Linked DNA regions of Anolis sagrei. Each later gene encodes a partner of the first gene's protein in a complex. Links are inferred from orthologs where the notes say so. Each region holds a gene or a part of one and is shown in the gene's direction. Other genes may lie near its edges. The genes, in order: CNOT11 and CNOT8.

Region 1 (15,111 bases):
ATGTTATTGGGAGTTTGTAATCCAACACCTCTGGAAGACACCAGGTTATGGAAAGATAATGACCAGAGGATAAATGGACACAAGTCAGATATTAGGAATAATAATTCTACTAATATCATTGTGTAAATGCATTAATTATTTGATTATTTGATTAGCCTCATCGCAAAAACTGCATGTGATAGAGAAAAAGTAACACAGATCTGAATTCTGCATGAAAAACTGTAAAAATGACCTAAAATTATATCTGATGAAAAATACTTGTAGGTTTGTGTTAGACGAATATGATGTGAAATGTGCAGACTTTACAGTGGTCAGCTGCAATGTACCATTCATCATATTTTTTTAAAATTGAAGTGATGGGAAAAAATAAAGTTATATTTAAAATCAACATAAAAAAGATTTAAACTGTGTTACTCCCATTTCTGATTATTACAAAAAGTTTGATTTTGTTGGCTTATGTAATGGTTTCTTGGCATAGTACTCACAATGGTTGACGTTCCAGCTACTAAATAGGGATTTAATGCCTAATTTATTGCAACACTTTATTGGTCCAGTACCCAAATCAATGCAGTAGACCAAGACCCCACAATCACCACCACTATTTGTATGTTTAGTTCATCATCTTGGCTGTATGTAAAACATATCTTCCAGTATCCTTTTGACTACTTTTTAAAACATCATTGACAATGAATTTGTGACCTCATCACCATACGTAAATATTTTGCATTTCTACTGCTATATACACTCCTTCCCCATTCCACTTTGGTATATTTATGTCTCTACCAAGACTTCATACACCAGATGGAGTGGGTTGAAGTTCAAGGAAGCTAATATAATAAATATTTTTTCTCAGTTAATCTTACAATATTTTTATGCTGAAACAGATTAAGGTGACTAGATCTTTATATTATATTATAGATAATTAGCATTGCACATAAATAGCTAGGGTTTAGCCACTACAACATGCTGGAACATTTTGCTCATGGTTTATTTGAAATCAGCTGAACAGTGCAAATTCTTTCTATGGTTTTATCATAGAAAACATCCAATATCATACGTCCTCTCAAGCAAGGGCTCTGCCTTTCTGGCCACGTTAATTAGCAAGAGTCAGTAACTAGCTTTGTACTTTCAAGGGTGCTGTACAATTAAATGTTCTCCTTAAACAGCAGGTTAACTAGAGGCCAAGATTCCATTCTGTGTATCTAAATAGCTGTTGCTTTTTTCCCTCTGTAGTAACAATTTGCCATTAAACTGCCGCAGCCTGGATATACTATACCGATTAGTTTGGCACCAAAATAGGGCCATTGTAGAATCAGCCTGCTCAGTAGCTTTTTCTAAACTTTTGTGCCCTGCATCTTGATTACCTTTTACAGCTGGGGGTCAAACTAGAGTGCTTTGGAGAATATTTTCCCTAAGGCATTATAATAGAAGTAAGAATGATGATTATTCTTGCATTACTTCTGTAGGAAGTTGTCCTGCCAACACATAGTTGATGTGATCAATAACATTCAAGGATATTTTATGATTAAATATATACAGGAATGCACATAGTCGGTCTTACATATCTTCCCACAAAACTATTTGAGAATGTTATGCAATATCCTTAGTTTGTTTTACTTCATAAATCTTCAACTGACATATTTTTCAATAAGTTTTTGTCTTTGTTTCTGTTCACCCCCACTCCTTTTTGTGTGTGGCCATAACAGACACAATAGGCATACACATTGTTTAGGCCCATTAATCTTCACAATAACACCTTTACTTTCCATTCCATGTTATTCTGGCTGACTTTTAGGCAGCTGTACAGAAGATAGCATTTGAACTGTACTCACACAATAAAAGTGCATACCGTGTTTCAAGGCATTTAAAAAAATCACAACAATGCCAGAATTCGTCTGTTTTATATCAATATTGTTATTACTGACCACTATAGTATAGAAAATGTATGCCTTGCCTTGCTATCTTGCTTTTTCTACATATTTTCTTTTGAATTTCAAATATACTACTGGAGTTTTCAAAGCTGCAGAAAGAAATGGAGTACAGTATAAATGTGTTCTGTTATCCATGAAGTGGATATTACTCTGGAGAAAAGGGTTCAAATCCCACTCAGCCATGGAAACCCACCAAGTGACTTTAGGCAAAGGTCACATTTTCTCAGACTTTAGGCTAAAGGTCACATTCCCCCCGCCCCCTGACTAAAACTTGCCAAGAAAATCCCATGATAGTGTCCTTTTAAAGTCACCCTAAATCATAAACTCCTTTCAAAACTAAAAATATATGTAATGCTTTATATTAGCTATGAAGACTGCAGTGTTCATATATCAGGGCTGCTAGGGAAAATCAATAATTCCCTATTAAATGCATTTGCTGCTATAGTACTGTATAAAAGCATCCTCTATCATGTGATGAAGGGGAAAATAGACACACTATAGACATACTTCATACTTCAAAGGCACTAAAGAATTGGATGTGGAACAATATACTGGAAGAGAAAAATGATCCAAGAAGCTACTCAAGGCACTTATAAAATATTGTCAACAAGAAGTAGAAATAGAAGCCATGAAGCAAGAAGCAAATAAAGAAGCAAATGGCATAAAATGTTTTTAAAACTTTATCCACAGTTGTTCTGCAGTGGTAATGATTTTATGTAAATGTATCACAAGCATTTTATTTGCTTCCAGAACACAGTTCTGCTGGCATAAAAGATGCAAAAAATAAAAGAAATTATGACTTCATTTATCATTCTCTTTCTGTTCTACCCCCAAAATGAAGGCTACCATATGGCATCTGCACTGAGGGCCAGATGAACTCTGCAGGTCCTAGCAGCCTCTATGAATTACTAAATATGTCTTGCTCTCTCCAGCACCTCAAAATAGAATTTGGACCATTGTAGACCGCTTCCTGGTGAAGCAAAGAAGTTCCAGTTTCCTTCTTAAATGCCCTATAGCATTATGAGGTAGTGATAACACTGTGCTATTTCTTCACTTCCTTTTTCTTGTAAAACAAGCTAACTGAAAGGCATCCAAGATGGGTTATTATAGTCATCATAATCACCAATTTATATAACACTACCAATGTGCATAGAAACCCACAAGAAATAGCTAGCTCTGCCAAACGTATACAATCGAGTACACACTCTGCCTATATAACACTACCAATGTGCATAAAAACTTACAAGAAATAGCTAGCTCTGCCTAACACATACTAGGTGAGGAAAGAGTAATACAAATATAAAAGTGTTTTGTATATATGATTGTAAAACAAAATTATTAAGTCAGAAATACAAAAACAAATGAAATTGCTACAGAGCAAACTGACGAATACACATAACCAACATATTAGCCCTAGAGCAGTGGTTCTCAACCTTCCTAATGCCATGACCCCTTAATACAGGTTGTGGTGACCTCCCAACCATAAAATTATTTTTGTTGCTACTTCATAACTATCATTTTGCTACTGTTATGAATTGAAATGTAAATATCTGATTTGCAGGATGTATTCACTGGACCAAATTTGGCACAAATACCCAATACGACCAAATTTGAATAATGGTGGGGTGGGAGTGGGGATGATTTTGTCATTTGGAAGTTGTAGTTGCTGGGGTGTTTATAGTTCACATACAATAAAGAGCATTCTGAACTTCACGAACGATGGAATTGAACCAAACTTGGCACACAGAACTTCCATGATCAATAGAAAATACTGGAAGGGTTTGGTGGGCATTGACCTTGAGTTTGGGAGTTGTAGTTCACCTACATCCAGAGAGCACTGTGGACTCAAACAATGACAGATCTGGACCAAAGTTGGCATAAATACTCAGTATGTCCAAATGTGAACACTGGTGGAGTTTGGGGGAAATAGACCTTGACGTTTGGGAGTTGTAGTTGCTTGGATTTATTGTTCACCTACAATCAAAGAGCATTCTGAACCAGTGATAGAACTGGGCCAAAGTTCCCACACAGAACCCTGATGACCAAGAGAAAATACTGTGTTTTCTGATGGTCTTTGGTGACCCCTCTGACACCCCCTTGTGACCCCCCCCAGGGGTCCCGACCCCCACCCCCAGGTTGAGAAACTGCCCTAGAGGAAATCTTGGAGGGCTGCAATTCCTCCCCTCACTCCCCAAATTATCTCTTCCCTAGAGATGAATGGGACATTTTTGCAATGTTTTTAAGTTGTGCATCCCAGGCGTTTTAAGCCCAGAAGAGGACTTTTAAATAATAAGTGAGTGGAAATGCTTCCAGCTTATTTTCCTTTCAGAATTGGCCCAGGGTGGCAAAAATATCCTCTAGAGGACACTGGGGACAAAAATAATTTTAAAAATTGGCAAAAGTTTATTTTACAGAAACAAACCTGGTTTTCATTAGAGGCTAGTATTTTGACAAAGACACTAATTATTTAACGAGCTAATTTTGTCCACAATTAGTGTTATGTAATTTGCATAACACACAATTGAAAAGCTGTGTTCTCAGGGCTGAGTTAAATATGTAAACAAGCTACTGTGGTAGCCTAATTCTTAAGAGAGTGAATGTATCAGAATGATACTTAATTTTATATCTTACAAAACGTGTGGTTTCTGTTTTATAATTTCCTATTTTCTAGATGGCAACATCCAGAGCACATTGGAATTTAAGACAAATTGAAGACCCATCTCTTTTGGTAGGCCTACCCAGTAAATTTTAAATTGTGAAGTTTAATCTAAATTTTATCAATGGATTTAATTTATATTTTAACTCTGGGTATCTTGTATGTCTTTTAATAGCGATTTATCTCTTGTTGTAATAATGGTGTACCCTGACTCAAGCCGCAAGGAGAGGCGGGTAATAAATTCATCATCATCATCATTAGATTAATAACAAGATTAGTACACAGCAAACAAGATCATTCCACTGGCTTTTGTATTTGATCACATGCCAGACACTTCCCAAGGACTGTGTGATGTATTGGCGAATAATGCGTGCAAATCCGACTCAAGATGGCTCACAGATAAAACTGGTTAAAATCAAACAATATTGTTTAATTTTTAAAATTTAAAATATAAAATTATTTTTACGTATTTATATTTATTTATTTATTTATTTAGAACTTTTATATACTGGTATTCTCACCTCCGACGAGCGACTCAGGCCGGTTATATGTCTTATATGTAGTAAATTATTATTATCTGTTTAGGTGGCACAGAGTTATAACTCTTTAATAATTCACAATTTTGCTTATATGAACGTAAGGCTTTTAAATTTCATGAACACACCAAACAGTACCATTTTAATATGCTAAGCAAGTTATAAATGAAGCTTTTTAATGTTACTAAAGTAATAAAATAAACCTAGGGCAATTATTTCGATTCCCCTCTAAATTTGTTTCCTCATCTTGGAAAAGTGTTTTTAAAAAGCAGGAAAAAAACATAAGAAAAAGAGAAAGCAGCATCCATATTTATTAATGTATACGCTACCTTTTCCCCAGGATAGAACCAAACAGGAAACAACATTTATAACCTAGGAACAAAACTCGTGTTACATAGTGTTATTATCCTTCAACCCTGACTTTCTGTATGGAAAAGAGAATGCCAATCTCTAAAGCAGGCATGGGCAAACTTTGGCCCTCTAGCTGTTTTGGACTTCAACTCACACAACTCCTAACACCTGGAGGGCCAAAGTTTGCCCATGCTTGCTCTTGGTAAGGTAAAGGTAAAGGTTTTCCCCTGACATTAAGTCCAGTTGTGTCTGACTCTGGGGGTTGGTGCTCATCTCCATTTCTAAGCCGAAGAGCCGTCGTTGTCCATAGACACCTCCAAGGTCATGTGGCCAGCATGACTGCATGGAGCGCTGTTACCTTCCCGCCAGAGTGGTACCTATTGATCTACTCACATTGGCATGTTTTCAAACTGCTATGTTGGCAGAACATGCTTGCTCTAAAGGCAGTGGTTCTCAACCTGTAGGTCACCAGGTGTTTTGCTTACAGCTACCTGAAATTGCAGCCAGTTTACCAGCTGTTAGGATCCTGGGAGTTGAAGGCCAAGACATCTGGGGACACACAGATTGAGAAACACTGGGCCCCGATCTTCACGATCTCATCTCCCTCTATGAACCGGCACAAACTTTAAAATCTTCCAAGGAGGCCCTCCTCTCGCTCCCACCCCGTCACAAGTACGGTTGGTGGGAATGAGAGAGAGGGCCTTCTCGGTGGTGGCCCCCCCGCCTCTGGAACGCCCTTCCTAGAGAAGTAAGACAGGCCCCATCCCTCCTCTCCTTTCATAAGAGCCTGAAGATCTGGTGGTTTAAACAAGACTTTGAGGACGACTAGTTCTAGCTCAGCCCCAGATACTGTTGAATATGGTCATATCTTTTTCTACCAAGTACCCAGGTTACTTCCTCCTATTAGGCCCTGGAAATGAACAGCCATAGACTCTACCTAATTTCCTGGGCCCTCTACAAATTGCACTAGCCTTGGCCTGGCCTTTTAAATTGCCTTGAACAGGCAGGATTATTTTAAATATATATGTGCTATTGTGATTTTTATGCTTATATTGTCTTGTTAATTTTATGTTGTTTACTTTGAATGTATTGATGATGTTACTTGGAAACCGCTCTGAGTCCCCTCGGGGTTTATTTATTTATAATGTCAGGAGCGAACCAAACCAGTTGTATTGCATTAAAAAACAGACAAACAAACAAACAAAACACAAAATTTGCAGACTTGGTATTCTATTAGATGTCCTTTGACCACTAGCTGGCCACTTGGAGTGCCTCTGGTGTTGCTGCAAGAAGGTCCTCCATTGCGCATGTGGCAGGGCTCAGGCTGCATTGCAGTAGGTGGTCTGTGGTTTGCTCTTCTCCACAATCTCATGTCGTGGATTCTACTTTGTAGCCCTATTTCTTAAGGTTGGCTCTGCATCTTGTGGTGCCAGAGCGCAGTCTGTTCAGCGCCTTCCATGTCGCCCAGTTTTCTGTGTGCCCAGGGGGGAGTCTCTCATTTGGTTTCAGCCATTGATTGAGGTTCTGGGTTTGAGCCTGCCACTTTTGGACTCTCGCTTGCTGAGGTGTTCCAGCGAGTGTCTCTGTAAATCTTAGAAAACTATTTCTTGATTTAAATTGTTGGCGTGCTGGCTGATACCCAAACAGAGGATGCGCCGGAGATGTCACTGCCTTGGTCCTTTCACTATTGGTTGCTACTTTCCAGCAGATGTCAGGTGGTGCGATACCGGCTAAACAGTGTAATTTCTCCAATGGTGTAGGGCGCAGACATTCCTACACCACTGGCATGTCTCATTAAGAGCCACATCTACTGTTTTAGTGTGGTGAGATGTGTTCCACATTGGGCATGCATACTCAGCAGCAGAGTAGCATGACGCAAGGGCCTATGTCTTCACTGTGTCCGGTTGTGATCCCCAGGTTGTGCCAGTCAGCTTTCATATGATATTGTTTCTAGCACCCACTTTTTGCTTGATATTCAGGCAGTGCTTCTTGTAGGTCAGAGCATGGTCCAGAGTGACTCCCAGGTATTTGGGTGTGCTGCAATGCTCCAGTGGGATTCCTTCCCAGTAATCCTCAGAGCTCAGGATGCTTGTCTGTTCTTGAGGTGAAAAGCACATGTATGTGTTTTAGATGGATTAGGGATCAGTGGGTTTTCCCCATAATGGGCAGTAAGAGCACCTAGAGCAGGGGTCCTCAAACTAAGGCCCAGGGGCCGGATACAGCCCTCCAAAGTAATTTATCAGGCCCTCGCTCAGGGTCAACCTAAGTCTGAAACTACTTGAAAGCACACAACAACAACAACAACAATCCTACCTTTCCAGCCAAAAGCAGGCCCACACTTCCCATTGAAATACTAATAAGTTTGTATTTGGTAAAATTGTTCTTCATTTTAATTATTGTATTGTTTTAAAGTGTTTTTTGCACTACAAATGAAATATGTGCAGCGTGCATAGGAATTTCTATTTTTTTCCAATTATAATCCGGCCCTCCAACAGTTGAAGGACTGTGACCTGGCCCTTTGTTTAAAAAGTTTGAGGACCCCTGATCTAGAGCATCGGAGAGCTTCTGTTCAACCATCTCAAAGTTTCCTGCTTGAGCAGTAATGGCATGATCGTCAGCATAGATGAAACTCTCTGTCCCTTCTGGCAGTGGCTGGTCATTTGTGTAGATGTTGAACATGGATGGAGCGAGCATGCTCCCCTGAGGCAGGCCGTTCTTCTGTTTCCGCCATCTGCTTCTCTGGCCCTGGAACTCAACAAAAAAGCTCTTGTTTTGTAGCAGGTTTCCTATGAGGCGGGTGAGGTGGTCGTCCTTTGTGATATTATACATTTTTCTAAGGAGGAGGCGGTGACTGACAGTATCATAAGCTGCTGACAGGTCTATGAAGACAGCTCCTAGGGGTGGTAGAGCGGTATAGAAATAAAGTTTTGTTGTTGTAAGGCGACACATGTCTCGGGTCATCTGATGAAAGCGCTCCGCCTGAAAAAGGAATCGGCCAATCCCTTTCCTCCTGCTGACGTTCCAAATTCGAGCAGCCAATCCAGTCTTTCCCTCAAGTATCCGAGCTGGGAAGAACCAATCAGATGGGCAAGGCTCGGCGAAAATCAATCTGGCCCATGGAGAGAGAGAATGATAGTTCCTCCCTCCCTCCGTCCCGCCCTCGGGCCAGTTTCCCGCTCCTCTGCCTTTAATTTTGCGACAGTGTTGAAAACGCGCGGTGGGGGGTAGCTTTACGGCAGGAAGGTGAGAGGCTGAACAATAGAGCGCGCGCAAGGAGGAAGAGGGGAGAGGAAGAGGCCGTGAGGAGAAAGAGAGGGAGAGGGAGAGGGGGTGGGTCGAGGCTGGATGCCCGGGGGCGGGGCCCGTGCGAGTTGTTCTGAGGGCGGCTGAGCCCCAGAGGCGGCGGGTTCGGTCCCCGGCCGCGGCCTTCTCGCCCGCGGCGGCCTTTCCTTCGGACTGGAGCCGCCCTGCCCTGAGGAGAAGATGAGCCTCTCGCCGAAGGAGCTGTCGAGCCTGCTGAGCATCGTCTCGGAGGAGGCGGGCGGGGGCAGTTTCGAGGGCCTCTCCACGGCCTTCCACCACTACTTCGGCAAGGCCGAGCACTTCCGCGTGGGCTCCGTGCTAGTGCTGCTCCTCCAGCAGCCCGACCTGCTGCCCACGCCGCCGCAGCGCCTCACCGCCCTCTACCTACTCTGGGAGATGTACCGCACCGAGCCCCTCGCCGCCAACCCCTTCGCCGCCATCTTCGCCCACCTCCTCAACCCCGCGCCGCCCGAGCGCGCCAGCGCCGCCCCCGGAGCGCCCCCCGCCACCGCCGCCCAGCCCAACGCCAGCGCCGCCCCGGGATCCGCGGGATCCGGCTCAGCTGGGCCAGGCCCGGCCGGAGCGGGGGGTGGAGGCGCCGGCGACGACGGCGAGAAGCCCCCGCTCTCAGGTAAGCCACCCATTCAGGTCTGCACAACCTGTGGCCCTCTAACCCAGGCCTGGGCCAACCTGGGCCCTCCAGACGTTTTGGACCCCAACTCCCACCATTCCTAACAGCCTCAGGCCCTTTCCTTTTCCCCCTCAGCCGCAGCGGCAGAGTGGGAAAAGGAAAGGGCCTGAGGCTGTTAGGAATGGTGGGAGTTGGGGGTCCAAAACGTCTGGAGGGCCCAGGTTGGCCCAGGCCTGCTCTAGCTGATCTGGCCTCCCAACTCCCAGAATTCTGCACCATTGGACCAACTGGGAGTTGGAGGCCCAAGCACCTGGAGGGTACAGGCCTCAGCTAGGTATGGATGTTTGTTTGTTTGAACCACACGTGCTCCTATATTGCGTGATGGATCCAAACTTGGCACACATATCCCTCGTGATCCAAATTAAAATACTTGTGGGTTGTTTTCTTGTTTAGCTTTTTTATCGTTTCAGGAGCGACTTGAGAAACTGCAAATTGCTTCTGGTGTGAGAGAATTGGCCGTCTATAAGGATGTTGCCCCCAGGGGACATCCAGATGTGTTACTTCTCTCATGTCTCTGCATGGGAAGTTAGAGTTGACAGATGGGAACTCACCCTACCTCCAATATTCAAACCGCCGACCTTTTGGTCAGCAGTCCTGGGTTTCACCGATTGCATCTCTGGGGGCGGGGTTGATACAGCAAGATGAGAGTTGTAGTCCAGTCACATCTGAAGAAGCATGTGAATCCCACCCACAATAGGTCTGGAGAAAGCTGGCTCATATATACCAATCATGACCAATGTTAGGGGGGTTAAACTACCTCCCCCCCCCCTCTCAGAGCTTAAGGAAGGAAAAAGGACATTATATTGAAAGATATATAAGTATGAGAAAAAGAGAACTAGAAAAAAGTGGGGTGGAAAATAAAAGGCACTCAAAGTGGCCAGCTACTGGTCAAAGGACATTTAGTATAATGCCAAGTTTTTAACTTTGTTTGCGTTTTTTAAATACATTACAACTGTAACCTTGGTTCGCTTCTGACACGATAAATAAATAAATACTTTGCATTGTCTTGTCACCAGTTAAATCTTGATGTCTGTGCCTTCGCAAAAGGTCTCTCTAGTATGTATTGCTGAATTATTGATTTTAATATTATTCTGAAAGATATCTAGAAAAAAATAAAGTAAAATGTAAAAGGAGAAATAGAAAGAAAAAGGGAAAGAAGGAGAACAATAAGATTATTACTGTCATCTTGTCAGCAATGAGATATTGCTGCTGTGTGCCTTCACATGTTTTTTCAGTCATGCTTTATCTAGTGATGCTAATTTTGTTGTGGAGCCCCTGTGGCACAATGAGTTAAACCCTTGTGTTGGCAGGACTGCTGACTGAAATGTTGGCAGTTCGAATCTGGGGAAGCAGGGTGAGCTCTTTCCTGTCAGCTCCAGCTTTCCATGCGGGGACATGAGATAAGCCACCCATAGGGTGGTAAAACATCCAGGCGTCCCCTGGGCAACATCCTTGCAGACAACCAATTATTTCGCACCAGAAGCGACTTGCAGTTTCTCAAGTCGCTCTAGACACTTTTAAAATTATCATTGATTTTAACTTTACACTTAAATGTATCTTAACATTTTTAAAAAGAAATACAGAAAGAAAAAAGATTATTTCTATTGTCTTTTCAGCAGTTTTAATTTGACAGTGTGTGCCTTCACAGAAGACTTCTTTGATAGTGGTGTCACTATTGATATTGTTATTGATTTTAACATTACACTGAAAGTTATCTGGAAAAGGAAAGGGAAAAAAGAGAAAAATAAGGAAAAAGGGAAAAAAATCAGATGACTTATCTTCATCTTTTCAGTAAATAGATATTGTTCTGTTTGCCTTCATAGAAGGTTACCCTGGTAGTGCTTTATCTACTGATATTATTGCCATTGATTTTAAACACTACACTGAAAGACCTCTATAACAATAATGAAAAATTAAATATAGTTGTTGCAGTGTGCTTCACAGAAGGTTTCTCTAGTAGTGCTTTATCTGCTGTTGTCTTCATTGATTTTAAAATTACACTGAAAAATATCTAGAAAAAACAAAAGAAAATAGAGGTAGAGAAAAGAAAAAAAGATTTCCAATCATATTTTCAGAAGTTATACATACTATATATGTTCTTTATCTGGAAATCTGAAATATACAAAATTATTCACATGGGTAGTTGGGATAGAGACGCCTTTGCTTTCTTGTGGTTCAATGTACACAGGCTTTATTTCATGCACAAGATTATTACAATCTTGTGTATAAAATTCCCTTAAGGCTATATGTGCAAGGTATATATAAAACATAAATGAATTTTGTGTTTAGATATCTCATCATGTATGTATGAGCAAATACAGATGTTTCAAAATTAAAAAAAAACTGCTGGTTCCAAGCATTTTGGATAATGGATACTGTACCATGTTCGTATATAATTTGGAACTATAAAAATATTGGCCAATAAGGAGACATATTGTATGTATTGCTAACTCTTGGAGCTTGCAAAACCAACATGGCACTGGCAATTCTTGGCCAATGGTAGGACAACGTGATGAAAAATTCAGACTCCGTGTCTGAAATTCAACACAATTATAAAACTTATAACTAATGGGAGTCTCCAAATGCTACAGAACACTTGTTTGGAGAAGAAAATGATTATTCATATAATCTCTCTGTCTAGAATAAGCATATGCTAAGCTTCTATAATAAATTCTTTTTAATAATCGTACTCAAAAGTTACCAAAGCATTTTCTTTCTTTGCAAAAAGTCCAAAAGGAGTTTCCAGTCTGAGAAATGTCATTTATGATCTTTTTCTGGTCAAACAAGACAATTTATCAATGCCTGCTAAGTATCAGTTCTGTCTACCACACTTCCATAATATATAAGATTTATTAAATAAGTCTGGTTAAATTACCAAGCAGAGGAAAATGGCTAGTGAGTGAAGCACTATTTCAAGGCCTTCTATTTTGTTATACTCAGGGGGACCCCCTGAGTATAACACCCATAATATTTTACAATTCTGGATATAATAAACATTTCTACAAACTGTATTGCTTTGTAAGGGGAAACACAAGCATTCATATGTGCTAATTATAGGCAGTTAAAATGTTCTTGTCGAATTCCCATTCAGCAAAATAGATATTTTCCAGCTGTATTTATATATAATTGCACAGCACTGCTGTCTGTATCTCATAAAGTTGTATCAGGCCAGCAGTGGAAATGTTTGAGTGCATAATTTTAAAGTCATAGGCCACTTTCTGACAAAAGTAGTTAATGCCGTGGTCAGTGGTTGGTCTACTTCCTGTTTCTTTCTTTCTACCACCCAGGGCAGGTTGGAAGCAGGGTAAACTGTCCTTCAGTCATGACTCCCTTCTCTGTTCGAATAATTTATGAAGGAGTAGCAGGGAGTAGATGTGTGAGGTGTAATCAGATGTATCTCTCTGGTCAATTAAGTATTTATTTATTTTTATTTATTTCAAAGTTTTCTATACCGAACTTCTCAACCTCATTGAGGGACTCAGCCCGGTTTCCAACCATAAAAACACATACAGTCATTAAAATATCATAGTGTAGGTGGGACATGGGAGGAGGCGTTAAAATCCCCCCTCTTTGTGATCCTTTTTACCAACAGATGGAAGATTCCTGGAGGGCCAGTTCTAGTTTTGAGCAACCATTAAATTAGTTAGAAGGCAGCTTGCTAGCACTTATTTCCTGTATGTGGTAGCACCTGTATGTTTTAGAACTGGATGGCCTTGAGTAAGTTGCCATTTTCTTGACTTAGTACTTCATCTACGAGTATAAGGAAAAGAATGATTATTTTCTTTGCAGAATTGTAAGGATGGGTTTGATAAACATCACAAACAATTGTTCACTAGTATCAGAAATATATTAAGCAGTGACAATTATTATAAAGTCATTCTGAAAGTTTCTCAAATGAGGGTAAACGAGATGAGAAATATAGCTTACAAAAATACTGTATTAAGATCCCTCAAAAGCTAAATATAGTTGTATACATGTATAGTCTGTCTAGATATTTTAGCTTAATTTATAGCCAAACAGTACCTTCGTAGTTCTTTTTTGTTATTCCCTTATGTTCACACACACATAATTTGCCTGTGAAAAACTAGCTATTAGTGCAACATCCAAACTGTTTTCTTCCTTTATTTGATCTTTTTAATTAGCTGCATCCAGAGCTTCCTGCTCTAAAAGAGACAAAGTTCTTACATTCATAGAAAATAGTTGAATGTACCCAAGGTTTCCACTGTGTTAACTAGAATTTCCTGGTTTTGAAAATAAGGCAGGCGGGTTTCACTAATTTTTCCTCCCTCTTGGGAGTCCCTTGGTGCCACTACCAACAGTCACTGTTCTGCTGTGCAATTCTGGAGTAACTGTGATTTGACACTTCAGTACGTGTAAAATACTTCTTTTGTGGTATGACTGTTATTATTCTTCGCAGGTTTTTTACCTCCAATAACACCGCCAGAGAGATTCTTTCTTTCCCAGTTGATGTTGGCTCCCCCGAGAGAGCTGTTCAAAAAGACTCCACGGCAGATTGCATCAATGGATGTAGGAAATATGGGCCAATCTGTAGACATAAGTGGCCTCCAGCTGGCTTTGGCGGGTAAGAAATAAATTGTGTTGCTGCAGTTTGGTTGCTGTACAGTGAAATGTCGATTTTGGGTAGGAGAGTGTATGCGTGTAAGATAGTAAGGATTACTCCTTTCTCCGTAAGTCACTTTTAAAAGTACATTGACTTTTGTGATCAAACAAATCATTTGTGGCATTTAGGTGACAACAAATTATGCCAATCCATAATTTAAAAAATTGAGGCTTTTTAATTGTTTGGTGTGGGGGCATGATGATCACTGTGAGTGCATAGAGATATATTTATGCGTGATCCTATAAGATAGCCTATGGATTTTGGAAGTGGCATATTTAATACTCTATTTATTATGAAACATACACAGCAGTTCCCAAGTTACAGATATCTGACTTCTAGTTAAGAATGGAGGTGAGACAACAGGCAGTGGAAACATACCCCTGAGAAGGGAAATGCACTCCTGAAAGAATTATCATGGGGAAAAAGGTATCTTGACTAAAGCTTTATCACCAATCCTTGTTTCCATGGTAACTCAAATTTTTCAGAATCCAGTTGTCACAGGGACAGAAAGTGAGATGGAATCTTCTGAACAGGAGTACAGACAGGAAGAGAAAACTTTAAAAAAATTTGGTTCAAATTACACTTAACAAATGTACCTGTTCCAACTTACATACAAATTCAACTTAAGAACAAACCTACAGAACCTATCTTGTCCATAGGACGATCTTGTCCATAGGACTGACTGTATAAAGTCCTGGGGACTGTCTGTTTACAGATGTACAAATTTACACCTGGAATGTTGCATTATGTCATGTTAAAGCAGATATTAGGTGTCTTATTTATCAATCAAATATATCTGTCCTGTCTTATTAAATCATTTATGTAGACCCATAAATGATCCACAGATGCAATTTAGAACTAGCTAAAATAATGTTGAAGAATGCTAATCATAGCACATGTGCAAATTGAATAAAATTAATTAGGTGAAAAACAAGCAATGTTTTGATGTGGTGCTGGAATGATAACAGCATTCATAGCAGTTGGACCACTTTCAAAAGCAAAGTGCCATTAGAAATATATTT
Region 2 (15,608 bases), on another chromosome or scaffold:
AAAAACATCTTGACTCATTTTCCCCCTTTATTCTCTTTGTTGCCATTGCCTCTGTGGCATTTTAATAGTATCCCCTCCTTAGTGCTGCTTAACCAGTGTGTTTGTCTGCTGGCACAGAATCTTGGGTATTGTTTTCTGGGTGTTCTGTACTCAGTACTTGGACGGGAAAACAACAGGAAATATTATGGAATCTCCAGGAAGGTCAAGGAAAGAATTTCCATCTAAAAAGCTGAAGAGTCTTTGTTGCCTGTCTGCAATGGGCTACAGGAGCCAGTGGTGTTTGACTCAGGCATCTTCTTCTATTCCTACAGAATAATGTCAAGTGGTAAAGGGGGACACATTTACAATCTCTTAATCCTCTTCAATACCCCCCCCCAAATCTGTAACACTGGTAGCAAACGCCACTTAAAGGGATGGTGCTGCTGAGTTTGCATTATATGCCAAGTTGCAGATCTTTAGGACAGCATTTTTTACATTCTCATTATTCATTTCTTCTATTCTTTTACTGTGGTCTTACAGTCTTGCTAAAGGGATACAATACACATTCAGTCAAGAATCACATAGGATAAAGGAGGGAGGGAGAGAATGAAACCATGGAAAAGAACACAAAACAGATGAAGTTCACTTTCACCAGACAGCCTTCCCTAGTACAATAAGTAGGGGATTTTTTCTCTTGTTTACCTACTCTAAACCTCAACAACCAGACAGTAGGGCTACATTAAATCTTTCTTTCTTACTCTCATTGGCTGTTTTTGGCCCACTACCATGTTTTCCTAATATTTTAGCCAGTATGTGGGAGGCAACTAAGCCAGCATTAAAAATCAATATTCCTTCTTCTGATGTGCAAGAAGTAAAAGTACATCACCTAATCCCATCTGATTTTAAAAGCTAAGCAAGTTGTGACCTGCCTAGTACTTTGATACCAGGTAACAAGGTAATTCAAGGAATCGCCAGGCACAATCACAGAACTGGAAGGACCTCTTGGTTCAACCCCAACTAAAACATCTCCAGCAGGTACCTGCAAGAGATCCAGAGACAAGTTGACGTGCTCAGAGAAGAGTAAAGGGGGTGATAAGATACGGAGGAAAAAAACATACAAGGAGCTGGGCATATTTATCTTGATGGAGATGAGATTAAGTGTTGTGGCGCAGCTGGTTCGGAGTCAGCTGCATTAAAATCACTACTGACAGAAAGGTCATGAGTTCAAAGCCAGCCCGGGTTGGAGTAAGCTCACGACCATTTGTTTAGCTTGTTGTTGACCTTTGCAGCCCAAAAGACAGTTGCATCTGTCAAGTAGGAAATTTAGGTACCACTTATGCTGGGAGGCTACTTTAACTAATTTACGACGCCATAAAAATCTCCAGCAGCGTGCAAAAGAATGAGGAAATACTCCATCGGTGTCACAAGTGGACTGTGAAGCAACAGCTCCCCTGATGGCTGGAATTCGAACATATGCTCATTAAACTGGAAGCTAAATAGCCTCTGTGTGTCTGTCTATATATGTTGTGTGTCTATGGCATTAAATATTTGCCATGTATATGTGCATTGTGATCCACCCTGAGTCCCCTGCGTGGTGAGAAGGGTGGAATATAAATACTGTAAATAAATAAATAAGTAAATACTTCAAGGGCTCTCACGGAGAGGAGAGTGCAGAGGATAGAACCATATCAAATGGTCTCAAATGATAGGATAGTAGATTTTGACTTAACACTAGAAGGGACTTCTTGACAGTGAGAATGGTTTGACAAGGAACCAACTGTCCCAAGGGGTGATGAGTCTTCTTCTCTGGATGTCTTGGACCCATATCCATGTTTTAATTTCCTGCTAAAAGAGAGGAGGGATGACAATGATCTAATTTCCCCGGGGAGTGAATTCCACAGGCGGGGGGCCACCACCGAGAAGGCCCTGTCCCTCGTCCCCACCAATCTCGTTTGTGACAAGGGAGGGGCCGTGAGCAGGGCCCCTCCAGAAGATCTTAAATTCCTAGGCGGGACGTAGAAGGAGATACATTCAGACAGGTACGCTGGGCCGGTGCCGTATAGGGTTTTATAGGTCAAGACCAGCACTTTGAATTGTGCTCGGAACTGAATCGACAGCCAGTGGAGCCGACATAACAGAGGGGTGGTATGCTCTCTGTATGATGCTCCAGTGAGAAGTCTAGCTGCCGCCCGCTGGACTAGTTGAAGTTTCCGAACAGTCTTCAAAGGCAACCTCATGTAGATTGCGTTGCAGTAATCTATTCGGGATGTAACAAGAGCGTGGTCAGATCAGACTTCCCAAGGTACGGGCGCAGCTGGCGCACAAGTTTTAATTGTGCAAAAGCTCTCCCAGCCACCACCAAGACCTGGGGTTCCAAGCTCAGCGATGAGTCCAGGATCACTCCCAAACTGCGAACCTGTGTCTTCAGGGGGAGTGTAACCCCATCTAACACAGGCTCACTTAATCACTTAATGTTATTAACCAAGAACTTGTATTCCAACAGGAATGCTAAAATAATAGTTGGCATTTCTGGCTCATTAACTGATTTTGTCTCGGTGAATAAAGCAAGGATAACTGTTTCCATCATAACACTTTAATTTATACCTGAACTACATAATCCCACTATTTCCTGGCGCTTAATTCTGTCCGTCCTCAATTGGGACAAAGCTGTCTTATTTTATATGCAGATAATGTGGTTTAATTCCACTTACAGGTCTGAGAAGGCTGCTCTTTACGCTCAGCACCGTTTGTTCTTAAATAACTGAACATTAACTATACTAAAACAAAGGTGCTAATTTTTGGAAAAGGACATCCTGTTCTCAGTGGTCATGAGATTGAACAATGCATGGAATTTAAGTTCCTGGGCATTCTTTTTACAGAAAGCCACTCCTGGAAGCCTCATATAGAAGTTACTAAAGCAGTAATCTTGAGATCTGTTGGAGCAATCTTTAGATTTTTTTCCACCATGTAGGGGGTCAATAGGCCTGAAAATATTCCAGTTCAGTCATTGCCCTGATTGTGTACAGTGGCACTGTCTGGGGATGGGATGACTTTCAGGGCCTTCCAAACAGGCCCTATCTTCCAAGATCTGATCCCAGGTTTTCTGCTCTAAACTGGATTATATGAGACCGCGCTGCCGGATAATCTAGGCGAAACAGAAAACCTAAGTTCAGATTCTGGGATATAGAGCCTGTTTGATAGGGCCCTCAGACTCTCAAAAATGGAAGCTCTTCAGAATACACGAGTTTTAAATTGCATTTAAAAAAATAACAACAATTGAGACTAAAAAAGAAAACATTTCTTGAGAAATTGCAAATACTTTCATCTGGTACATTGCAGCCCTAGTTCAGGCAAAGGTCAGTTTACCTTCTATTAGATCTCACGTTTCATTTTATTTAACTACTGGAGAATTTTGAAAGATTTGCCGGAGTTTTCCTCAAAATACGTTTTGAACAGCTATCAAACTGCAGTTTGGAGTTCAAGATATAAAAGGTTGCTTCAACTGTATCCTACTCTGCTTGACAATTGTTCTATCTTGAATTCTAAAGTATTGCGAGTATGGTTTTTCACCATGGTACACAACTGGACAGACGGGCCTTAATAACAAATTTCTCAAAATGGCAGAGACTATAATTTGACTATCAAGGGGCTTACCTGGCTAAGCTTATACTTCCAAAGTTAGGCAAATGCTTACAGCCCTTCGCTTTCAAGCCATGCCTACTGCTATGATTGATGGCAGATATCCTTGTATTCTTCTGATCCTCTATTTGTGGAGCCCTAGAAATTGATGATTTGTCCTGTTATTTCCTCTTCTGTTCATCATATTCTTAACCAATAAGCAAATTTTTTGGATCTTTTCTAGCTTATTTATTTTCTAATAATATTTCAGAATTTTTTTTAATCTCTTGTCTGATATTAATTCCATGGTAACTTGAAAGGTTTCTTTTTTTGCCCTGGCTGAGATGAAAAATTAGGCAAGATTTATCACTGATATTCCAACCAATTCCTCTGGGGATGCTTTTACAGTATTGTTTATATTTAATGTATGCATTGAATTGAATATTTTGCATATATTTTATGTAGTACTTTTATACTGCTACATTAAATATTGTATGGGAGTGACTTATGGTATAATATTAATAAACTACTTATGATCATAAGTGAAGACATCTGCCCTTGCACTTTGCTACTCTGCTGCTGAGTATGCATGCCCAGTGTGGAACACATCTCACCACACTAAAACAGTGGATGTGGCTCTTAATGAGACATGCTGCATTATTACGGGGTGTCTGCGCCCTACACCACTGGAGAAATTACACTGTTTAGCCGGTATTGCACCACCTGACATCTGCCGGGAATAGTGAAAACCAATAGTGAAAGGACCAAGGCAGTGAAATTTCCAGCTCATCCCGTTTGGGTATCAGCCAGCACGTCAACGACTTAAATCAAGAAATAGTTTTCTAAGATCTACAGAGACACTTGCTGGAAACCTCAGCAAGCGAGAGTCCAAGAGTGGTAGGTTCAAACCCAGAACCTCAATCAATGGCTGACACCAAATGAGAGACTCCCCCCTGGGCACACAGAAAAATTGGCAACTTGGAAGGCGCTGAACAGACTGCGCTCTGGTACCACGAGATGCAGAGCCAACCTCAAGAAATGGGGCTACAAAGTAGAATCCACAACATGCGAGTGTGGAGAAGAGCAAACTACAGACCATCTGCTGCAATGCACTCTGAGCCCTGCTACATACACAATGGAGGACCTTCTTATAGTAACACCAGAGGCGCTCCAAGTGGCCAGCTACTGGTCAAAGGGCATTTAATCAACTACCAAGCTTACAAACTTTGTGATTTGTTTGTTTGCTTTTTTAAAAAATTCAATACAACTGTTTGCTTTGCTACTGACATGATAAATAAAGATCACAATTAAAGAAATCTCTCACCACTCCATGTTTTGAATTGCTACTACACTTCACATTCCTTCACCCTTGCCTTGGAATATATCTCTGTCCACAGAGATTTCACTCCATGCACTGCAGTTTACAGAAGCTTATGCCAGAAAATTCTTATCTAAGTTTCAAAGGTGTTTCTGGATTCCTTTGTATATTTTTCTAATAAATATGTTTAAGCAGGGATAAAGTGAAGATTGAAACTCTGGTGTTTAAGGAGTAGGTCAAGAAAAATAATTGAGCTGAAGTTCCTTGGGGAAACAAAAGGGCTTAAGCCTTACCGAAGGAGGTAAGATGAAGGCCAAATCAAAGCACCACAGAAGAAAGGCTGAGACAAAGGTCTTCAGATGACTGAATATCCCAGTAGTGCTCATGTTAGTAAAGCAGCAAATCCATTATGGCCTTTTATTTCAAATTTTATTATTTATTTATTTATTTCACAGTTTTCTATACCGAGCTTCTCAACCTCACTGAGGGACTCAGCCCGGTTTTAGAGAAACTATCAAAGGTCCCTTACACACAACTGAATAAAATCCCACATTATCTGCTTTGAACTGGAATATATGGCAGTGTGGACTCAGATAATCCCGTTTCAAAGCAGATATTGTGGGATTTAAATTTTGGAATAAACCCCAGTTGGATTAACTATTCTACAGACATTGGGTCCACCATATTCTACTGTATGGCCCTAAGAAGTGCATGAAAAAGTCAGTCCAAAAGAGAAATTCGGGAGAAGGAGGAGATTCTCAGCATTAATGTTAACATCATGAAGAATGTTATCAAGAGAGGACAATGGTGAGCCAAGCAGCAGGATCTGCAGAAGAAGAAAGTGTGTGTATGAATTACTGTGTTGCAAATTGATGCATGTCTAAAAAGTGTGTCATCAACATAAAATGTTCGGAAAGCTCTGCCTTAAACAATTTATCCCCCCAAATCACAGATTGGTTTTATAAATCCTTTAAACCTAGAAACAAATTCTTTTATTTTAAAAAGGATAAGCCTTTTAGCAAAGAGTGCAACAACCCTTTGGAAGTAACTGAGAATGAATCTCAACTGAGCATTTCCAAAGGCTAGGAATGATAGTTGCCCACCAATTTCTGATGGTCCTTGTGAAGTCTTGGCTCTGCCTTCTCCTCTCCTCTGTGTTAGTTCTCCCTGTATACAGGCCTTCCCAATAGTGTAGAGACTTTTCTTTGTATTCGTTTTTGCGTGAATCTTAAAATCCCCCCACAGGCCAGTCTTAGCTGGTCTATTTCATTTCCCTGTATAGTGCTCTCTTGATGGACTCCTCCCTTTTCTACAGGCTTGTGGCGTTGTCTGGTAATCCTAGGCCAAGGAATCCAAAAACAGGCATTCTTAGCACCTGGTGCATTTAGCAGTATTTTTATATACTACAGTCCAAAGGACAACAGAAGCTTTTGGTCAGCCTAAGCTTCACAAGGAAGAAGATTGTGACAGTTCACTACTTTACATCAGAGGCAGAAGATGCCAGAAATATGACTGCAACCAGTAAGTTCTCCTTTTGTAATGTATTGTTTTAAGTTACCTAATGATAGTCCCGAGTGGAGTTAACTCTTTTATTCCTCTTGTTTGTAGTAAACTCATTTTGGTTATCTTTTCACTTTGCCTAAAGAGCTTCTGTCTGCTAAGGGACTTAATCTTAACAGAAGGTATCCGATAGCCCCTGAGTAAAGACAGACAATAGTCTTCCCAAAAGCTCAAGTATGCCATCACAGTCCCATTCATGTTCCCCGCCCGGCACAGAAAACGAAATTATGAAAAGGAAGAAAGAAGAGGGAGAAAAAAGAAATGTGAGAGCTCCTTTTTATTTTCACAAGCGTTTCTGTGGGATATAAACCCACACCTTTGGATGCAATAAAGGTAATTAATTATCTGGCTTATTCTCACTCTGCCCTGCATCTAAATAAGTGGTCTTATATATATATGTGTGTATGTATTTGCCCCCTCCAAATTACTTAAATATGTTGCCATCTTTCTTGCTTCTCTCCCCCTTGTTATGCTGCAAGAGACTAACAGGGCCACTTCCTTATAAATCAGGCAGTCCTCTCCCACATAGCACACTCTCAACATTAAGGGTTTATGCCCACATTAATAAGAGTACCCAGGAAAGAAGTTTTAAATGCTACAAAACACTTTGTCAGCAGAGATAACCGGCTCCTTCTCCGTCGCCACTCCCACAGAGCCGCCTCTCAGCCTGGCTTCCCCACGAACCGCAGGCTGCTCCAGTTTCAGTCAGACCAGAAGAGCATGCGCAGTAGCGAGAAGAGCGTCCTTTGAGGCGGCTCCACACGCATGCGCAGTAGGAAGAAGAGCGTCCTTTGAGGCGGCCCCACACGCATGCGCAGTAGGAAGGAAAGCATCGCTTGAGGCGGCTCCACGCACATGAGTAGTAAGAAAAAGCGCGTCCTGTGAGGAGATTCCACACGCATGCGCATTAGGAAAAACATCGTCCCTTGGGGTGGCTCCACACGCGTGCGCAAACAGGCGCGCGCTTCCCTTGCGTTTCCGGTGCCCAACCTTGGGAGGGTCGTTGCTGCTCTCCAGGGCGCATGCGTGCGGAGAAGAGGCAGCGGAGGAAGCAAAACAAAGGCGACAACAAAACATCCACATCGCATCACCGAGTGATGGGACGGAGGTAGCCTAGAACGGCCTCCTCCTCGGTTCCCCCCTCCCTCAGCCCCAAACACAGGCGACGCGAGAGCGAGGACGGGCCGGCGCGCGCCGTTTTCTTCCGGTAAGGCGGCGGAAGCGGCGGCGGCCGCGGGGTTTCCTGAGGCGGGGAGGGAGCGAAAGAGCGGGACGGACCGGATTTCCTGCTCGCGGTCTTCCTTTTCTCCCCGAAGCCTCCTCGGCTGGCTGCCCTTTTGCCTCATAACGTGGCCCAGAGGAAGGGAGAAAGAGAGCGTGCTCGTTCCTTGGCGGGATTGTGCTTTTCCCTTCTGCCAAAATCCCCCTTCAGAAGTGAGAGCAGGCACCTGGCTCAGCCCCTCATGAATCAATTGGAAGGGAAACGGCGTGTGTGTGTGTGGTAGTGGGGGGTGGGGGGGGGTCGAGTTTGCAGAGGAGACAGTCCTGCGAATCCTTCAGTGGAAGGAGGAGGAAGGCCTCCATGTTGCAAGGGGCAAGGGACCTAAGCAGGGCCGGCCTAGTTCACACTTGGGTGGGAGGCCGCCAGGGAGGCGTCTTAGGCTATAATTCAGGGGAAGGAACTGGGGAAAACACCTCATTCCTTGCCTAGGAAAACCTTAGGGAATTCATTGAGCTGATGAGCACCTTGAAAGTACATTTAATCACATGGTATAGTCCCCTAAAAGGATGCAACCGTAACAGATTATTCTACTGTATGTGTATAAATAGGACAATTATCTATACTTGGATGGGAAACTAATAAGGAATAGCGGGTGCTGTAGGCTATATTTCAGAGGAGGGAAATGGCAGAAAACATCTCTGAATATTCCTTCCTGAAGAAAACCCTCTGAAATTCAAAGAATCAGCGGGCAACTTGATGTGTATGTATATGCACATATATATGTGTATGAGTTTCCTTTTTATACACATAAGATATCCCTCAAGAAGTATATAGCCTAACAAGTTATTGTACCATATCTGTATAAATAGGTCAGATATCTCTTTGTTTGGGTGGGAAATCACTAAGGAATAGCAGGCACTATAGGCCATGTTTCAAAGGAAGGAAATGGCAAAAGACATCTTCAAATATTCCTTGCCTAAGAAAGACCTATGAAATTCATTCCATAAGTCAACAGGAGAGTTGAAGGCACATACATGTAAGGGATTTGAGCCAAAGAGGGATGCCTTTCCATTCCTGGTTTTTGAGGAGCTTTACTGGGCCTAGCATTGTGTGCTTGTGTGAATATTGCTTATGGCCTAGCCTCTCCTATTGTTTCCCTTTCTTTGCTTCTGAGCAGCACATTTAGGTATAGTGCAATCATGAAGGAAGAAGCAGACACAATTAGAAAGGTGGTTCAGGTGGAGTATCCCTGATCTGAAATGCTTTAGACCAGAAGGATTTTGTTTCTGATTTTAGAATACCTTTGTTTACATCTACGTATATAATGAGATACCTTGAAGATGACCCCCAAGTGCTAAATTCGTTTATATTTTACAGACATCTTCCACACATAGTCTGAAGATAATTTTATATACATTTTAATAATTTTGAGCATGAGCTTTGTACATTGAACCACCAGAAAGGTTTTGCTATCTCAGCTACTCATATGGACAATTTTGGAGCATTTCATTTGGCTGCATAGGGGATATGCAGTGTGTATTTACAGAGTTCTCTCTTGCTAGGTTTTCGTGTGAAGAGGGAATATGAAAGTACATTCTTATCATAATTTAAAGTAAAGCACCTTGAATGAACATGTTGGGAAGTAGTCCGCTCTTTTGTTCAGTGCAAATAACATTTCTTTTTTGTCATTTAAGTAATCGATACAAAAAAGCTTCTTGTATACAGGGCATAAACTGTGTAATTGTGCATACAAATAATTGTTTATAAACTAGTGCAGTATTTGTTCAAAAAAACAATTCCAAGTGATAGCGCATAGAGAAGTACAATTTCTCCAGGTTCTCCAGTGCATCAGCTTCCAAGATAAGTTGATCATAGTCATGTTGAAAGAACTACGAATTTTTAGCAATATATTTTCTCATGTAAAAAAAATAGAATTTTCTTTATTTGTGGGTTTTCACTTTCACAAGGGTTTTATACCCATTACCCTAGCAAGTGTGGAGGATGATTGTTCTCTTTTAACAATTTCATAGATATTGTTGATGATTTAAAAAAAATAAAATTTACATATATTTTGAGGGCAGTCCTGTACATGTTTACCTGCTCAGACATGGGAATCCACTGGTGACCTTGAACAAGTCACACACTCAGCCTCATAGGAAGGCAAGAGCAAACCCTCTCTGAACAAGAAAATTCTATACTAGGTTTGTTTTAGTGTTCTCATGATATAGAAATCATTTGAAGGCACTCCAAAACAACATATCTCAATTACATCGGAGATTGCAAAGCAGGAAGCAAATATCAGTTCACAAGAATATAAGATTCACTGAGATCCTTTAGTAAAGATAGTACAATCCCAGAAATGCAGAAATGTCAGGAATTTAAAAATGTCTATGTCTTCAATAGACAGACATATACAGACATTACTTTAAAATATTCTGTTTTCACATTTCGAATGACTAAAACAATTGTCAGATTCTTGTTAGGAAGCTATAGATTCATGGGCACCATATTTATAGTGTTACACAGTGAATCCCATTCACCCCAATTCCTACTGGCTGGGTAGAAGGCCCGGCACTTGATGGAGGTCTGTGATCCAACTGATTGGAAGCAGTGACTGATGTTCTCATTCCTTCTGTAAGCCATCTTCATTGAGACAAGCAGAAGCAGGATCTCTGTTGCAATATCCTAATGCTGGAGATTGCTTGGTTCTTGTTTTTAAAAGCATTGAATGCTTTCCAAAAAAATTAAAATGTTCATTGCTTCCCTCCTCCTCAACCCCCAATTGTTTCTTTATTCAGGTCCTTCTTTGGCAGGAAGTTCTGTGTTAACCTTATCCAATTTTCTGATTCCCCCCTGGGCTTTTAATCTGTATTGTGAAAGGCATGGAGGATAAGAAAAGGCAGTAATAAAATTCAGACTGAATGCAGTGTTTCCTGATTGTAGAAAATGAAAGACATTACACTCAGGATATGTTTTTATATTAAAAATGTCTTCATATATGGGGGTTCTCTTAATATGTGGCACAACTGAAACAAAACTCTTGTTTCACGCAGAAATTTGTGACAACTACAATCATTATATTCAAAAGATTCTACAAAACAATACGCAATACAGCACCTTTGGCTAGTTAGCTATTGTATTCAGGAGATTAGCATGCCTCAAGGGCATTGATAAAACCAGAACTGTTTGATGCTGTAAATAAATTTCAACTTATGAAATCTTTTTAAATACGCAAATTAAACTTTGTGTGGAGAATTTTAGGGATACGTTAATCATGATCTGCCATTGCTCTTTCTTATAAAGTAGTTATTCTTAGCCTAGTGAAGACATTCTTTTCTGAGAAATTAATAATTAGATCTCAGCATCTTATTTGAGAATCTCAGTCATACAGTATCTATAACATAAGCACTTTATTGGATCCAGGCAGCATCCTACTATTCTTTGCTACCACCACAGGGTCACAAACAGCTATAGTTGGACAGTCCTGAATTTCAACATCCCTCTTGGCAACCCCCTTTTTTTCCAACAACACATTGTCTATATTTTCCAACAGCAATGGTACCAAAGTTCATTTCATATGGTATCTGTCCTTGAACACTTCCCAACTGTATATCTAAAGACAAAACCATGTAGAATTAATTTGGTTGCCATAAGTCAGCAACAACATGAAGGCACACCCCCCCCCCCAACATCTAAAGAATGTGTATGATGTCAGTGACATTTATATTTAGGTAGTCATGTCCTCCTATGGACTACACATAGTGCAAACTCGTATCTCTTCTATTCTAATTGTAAAGTTACCCAGTACAGTACTTCGTGTAAATAAACTTGTAAGGACATTCTTTTGGTCCAAAATCATGTCAATGGCAAGGTATCTTATAAGACATAACTTTCCTGTTCCTTTGACCAACACCATTTCCCATGATATTTGAAGAACTATCAGTCCAAGAGCTGAATACCTTGTGATATCCATGATCCTTTGGTTTGCATATCATCTTGTTTCTCCTGGTCAGTTATTTTGATCTCAAGAGAATAAATATTCTCTGTGACAGCCATAACCCCTGTGCCATGAAAATATAACCATACTTTTAACACTATCTGAATTGTTTGACTAGATCTCTCTCTCTCTCTCTTACCCCCTGGTTGGTGTTTTTTCCGTTATGTTTTCAAGACGGGGAGGACTGGTTTCACCTTTCTTATCTCTTTATTAAATTCAAAGAGGTCATATGGTGGCAGCTTATTTCAGCACTTGTTAATGGTACATGAACAGTAGACTTAGTTATACAAAAACGGTTTCTAGCTTTCTAATGTTTAGCTGAAACTAAATGCCCTGCTGTGGCTCCTTTCAGTTTCTTGTAATAGTTAAGTGATACATTTTATTTAATAATGGTGAAATAATGTTTGTTTTTTATTCACATGCAGTCTTAACTTGTCTGACTGCTTCCTGTTCTGATGCTTTTGTTTGTTTGTTTGTGTGTGTGTGGGGGGGGGGAGGCAACATGACTGTGGCAGTTTTTCCATTGTGTTTGTGGTTACCTCCATGTTCGGTTGGACTTATGTCATAAGTAAAAGGAATTTGGTACCTGTAAAACATGCTTGCCATAATAGCTAGAGAAGCTGAACTGATAAAATTCCTAGTCAGCAATCCAATTTGTACAGTATTAGTCATGATTAGGATCATTGCACTGCTATTGCTGGATTGTGTTTTGAGTGTCTTGAAAACTGGAAGCTGTTACGATTTTTTGTGTGTGAAAACACCAGTGTTGTTTCTGGTGTTTATTGTAGACATTGTTCTTTACTATATGTCACAAACTGCAATGTTACAAGTTGCGACTTTTCTTGTGCTGGAAAACACAACACAACAACAGATCGGTGTGAGGAGCCCCAAATTTATGACACCACCATCAGTCAACTGTTACTCACTTACTTACTTAGGTGATCCCTCATTGGCCGAGTAGGATAATCCTCTAGGGTGGGTCCATAGGTGACTATGGAGTCCTATTCTTGATCTGCATCGTCTCCCACAGTGAGGGCATTGGTTTCCAGGTGGAAGGCGGTCCCGGCCAGGGTTGGCTTGATGCGCCTTCCTCTTGGCACGTTTCTCTCTTTCGCCCTCCATTCGTGCCTCTTCAAATTCTGCAGGACTGCTGGTCACAGCTGACCTCCAGCTGGAGTGCTCACAGGCCAAGGCTTCCCAGTTCTCAGTGTCTATGCCAGAGTTTTTAAGGTTGGCTCAGTCAACAGTACCCCTCCCACAGCTGTATTTGATTTAATTTAATCAGCAGTTTTGTATGTAGCTGTAGCCTTTTATAGATGTGGCATAGTAGGTGCTTATATTGGATCCAGGTTAAGTGTCATTTATCCCAAGTGCTTGGGACCAGAAATGTTTGGGATTTGAGGATTGTTTTTTTAAAAAAATGTGAAATACCTGTGCTTGCATATACATAATGATATATTCTGCAGTTGGGGCCAAAGTCTAAACATGAGTTCCCAGAATCCACTCACCTGCTTACTGGTAGTAATTGATTCTGCTCAACATACCCAGCACAGGAAAGGTTGGTTTGCCTCTTTCCAAAAGGAAGAACCACAGAAAAGTTCTTGTGTCATGCAAAACCCGAGACAGATTCAGAGAAATGTGCCTTCTCTCCTGCACTGCAGAAACCCCTGTAGTTTATTTTATTGCTTGGATGGTAAAGTGTGATGATGGCTAGCTACCAATAATGGCTAGTTAGATAAGTCAGAATTTATGGGCGCTTGGTTAAACACATATTAAGGAACCAAAAAAAACATGCATTGTCCTAATCCTGACCCCTGAATATAAATTAATGTGTTTACTGTGTTTAATGAAACAGAGCAGAGGGCAGAGACAAAGCAGTCTGTGGAAAATAAGCATTACATGTTAGGTTGACCTAGTGCAGCAAATTAACAGTGCATGTTTATTGCCTTGCAATGTAGTGAATCATACTTTTACCTACATAATGTTTATTATCAGCCCCTCGTAAATATCACGTAGGCATTTGAAAAACATTTCAAGACTTGTTTAATGTATAAGGTTAATTGTAGGATACTGCAATTATTCCAAGAAGTATTAGAGTCATATCCTATCTTTCTCTATTTTTTATTTTAACTTAAATTTTGTTTTGAATTTGTGTAGTGAACATATTCAAAACACAGCCAAATACACCTTTTTCTTCCTCACCTCCTTCCAGTTCCCAGGTATTTTGTCGTCTTAATCAGGTGAGGATCCTTTTAATGAACAGATTGTAAATAGGTGTTTCAGTTGCTTCACAGAAACTAATTAATAGTACAGAAAGCTGACTAACGAATAAATGGTGGGAAGCAAATATTTCCCCCCTGCTCAGTTTGCAATCAAAGATGATGGCTGTACCAGAGAGGGTGTGTTTCCTGTTAGGACATATATGAAACAATAGTTGCCTTTGCCAGTACTGGAACAGGCATCATTTCACAAACTTCCTCAGATGTTATTATTAAAATATATACTTCATTCACCCAACATGAGCTTATATTTCACAGGTAGCCCTAAAAGTTTTAAAAGAATATATTGCTGCCTTTCATTTAAGTTATATTATTAGATATGATTTATATTGCAAATATACAAGTATAATATGGTTATATTAGTCAAATGTGCTAATCAGATTTTATGTACTGAATTATAAACATTGCACTAGATCAGTGGTTCTCAACCTGTAGTAAACTGGCTGGGATTTCTGGGAGTTGTAGGCCAAAACACCTGGGGACCCACAGGTTGTGAACCCCTGCACTAGACTATAATCAGTGTCATTTCGGAATACATCTTGTTAAAATCTCTAGAAGTTCTGAGAAAATATGCATTGTCTAATATGTGGTTGTGCGAGGCTTTGGGTGACACTGAATATTATTTTTGGGATAAAGAATCTTTAATCTTTCTTTGTTCCTTTAGGGTAACATTCTTGACATCTGGGAGTTCCTGTCTTGCCATTGCAACTCTTGTGCAAATTTTTCAAGATGCCAGCAGCACTCGCAGAAAATAGTCAGGTGATTTGTGAAGTATGGGCAAACAATCTAGAAGAAGAGATGAGGAAAATTCGGGAAATTGTTCTCAGCTACAGCTACATTGCAATGGTAAGCATGTGCTTCAACATTCAACTTGCATATAAAATCTTGAATTTTATTCTAGACAGTTGAGTCATTTTGGTTGAAACACATTAGCCTGATCCTAAACAGAAAGTTGCTTAATGTTTTAGATTAGAGGCTGGCAATTTTGGGAGGTGAAATTTCACTTTTGTCTACCCCTTCAAAAGCAGGAAAAATTGCTGTAAATTCACCCTGAAAGTGAATTTTTTGCCTGAAAAATAATCTGATTCAAGGAGAAAGGTGTATGATGTGTAGAGATTTAGGCCACAAATTAGGAATGATTCATGTCGCCTATGGATCACACTTCTCTATCCTAGTTTTAGAGATACATAAATGTCATTTTAAAAATACTGATATTTTGAAGTATTTTCCCTGGATTATGAATCTCAAAACTGCAAACGCAGCACAGATGCCTGACATATTCTGTGTAAATCGTGCAACATTTGAATGTTTTGTCATAAAATTTGGGACCTGACCCTCAGTTTTATGCTATCTTTGTGATTTTTTTGGAAGTAGGTGGATACTGCTGTTGGAGAATGCACCTCTTGATAGACCTTGCAAAACAACCTTGTATTCTCAATATGATTAGTTACAGGAAAATGAATTGCACATACTCTGTACATTCACACACAGATTATACCTACACTGTACTTTCATTTTTTTCTGTCTAATTTAGACTGTATTGCTCCACAAATGTCACCTCTTTTTCTCTGCCTACTGAATTTTGGGGCCAAGTAGCACAAAAGTTTTCATTTTCCAAATTGTTAATACTCTGAA

The links.
Region 2: CNOT11 (region 1) and CNOT8 share a complex: the UniProt entries of both Homo sapiens proteins name them as parts of the CCR4-NOT complex. The link is inferred for Anolis sagrei from reciprocal best matches to the Homo sapiens genes CNOT11 and CNOT8.

What each region holds. Positions count from the first base shown.
Region 1 is NC_090023.1:103,545,152-103,560,262, forward strand, and holds the start of CNOT11 (CCR4-NOT transcription complex subunit 11), read left to right. Parts: upstream 1-8,629; 5' UTR 8,630-8,957; coding exon 8,958-9,408; intron 9,409-13,885; coding exon 13,886-14,050; intron 14,051-15,111. UniProt on the Homo sapiens protein: Component of the CCR4-NOT complex which is one of the major cellular mRNA deadenylases and is linked to various cellular processes including bulk mRNA degradation, miRNA-mediated repression, translational repression during translational initiation and general transcription regulation.
Region 2 is NC_090022.1:81,790,286-81,805,893, reverse strand, and holds the start of CNOT8 (CCR4-NOT transcription complex subunit 8), read left to right. Parts: upstream 1-7,367; 5' UTR 7,368-7,682; intron 7,683-7,746; exon of another isoform or gene 7,747-7,909; intron 7,910-14,637; 5' UTR 14,638-14,702; coding exon 14,703-14,819; intron 14,820-15,608. UniProt on the Homo sapiens protein: Has 3'-5' poly(A) exoribonuclease activity for synthetic poly(A) RNA substrate. Its function seems to be partially redundant with that of CNOT7.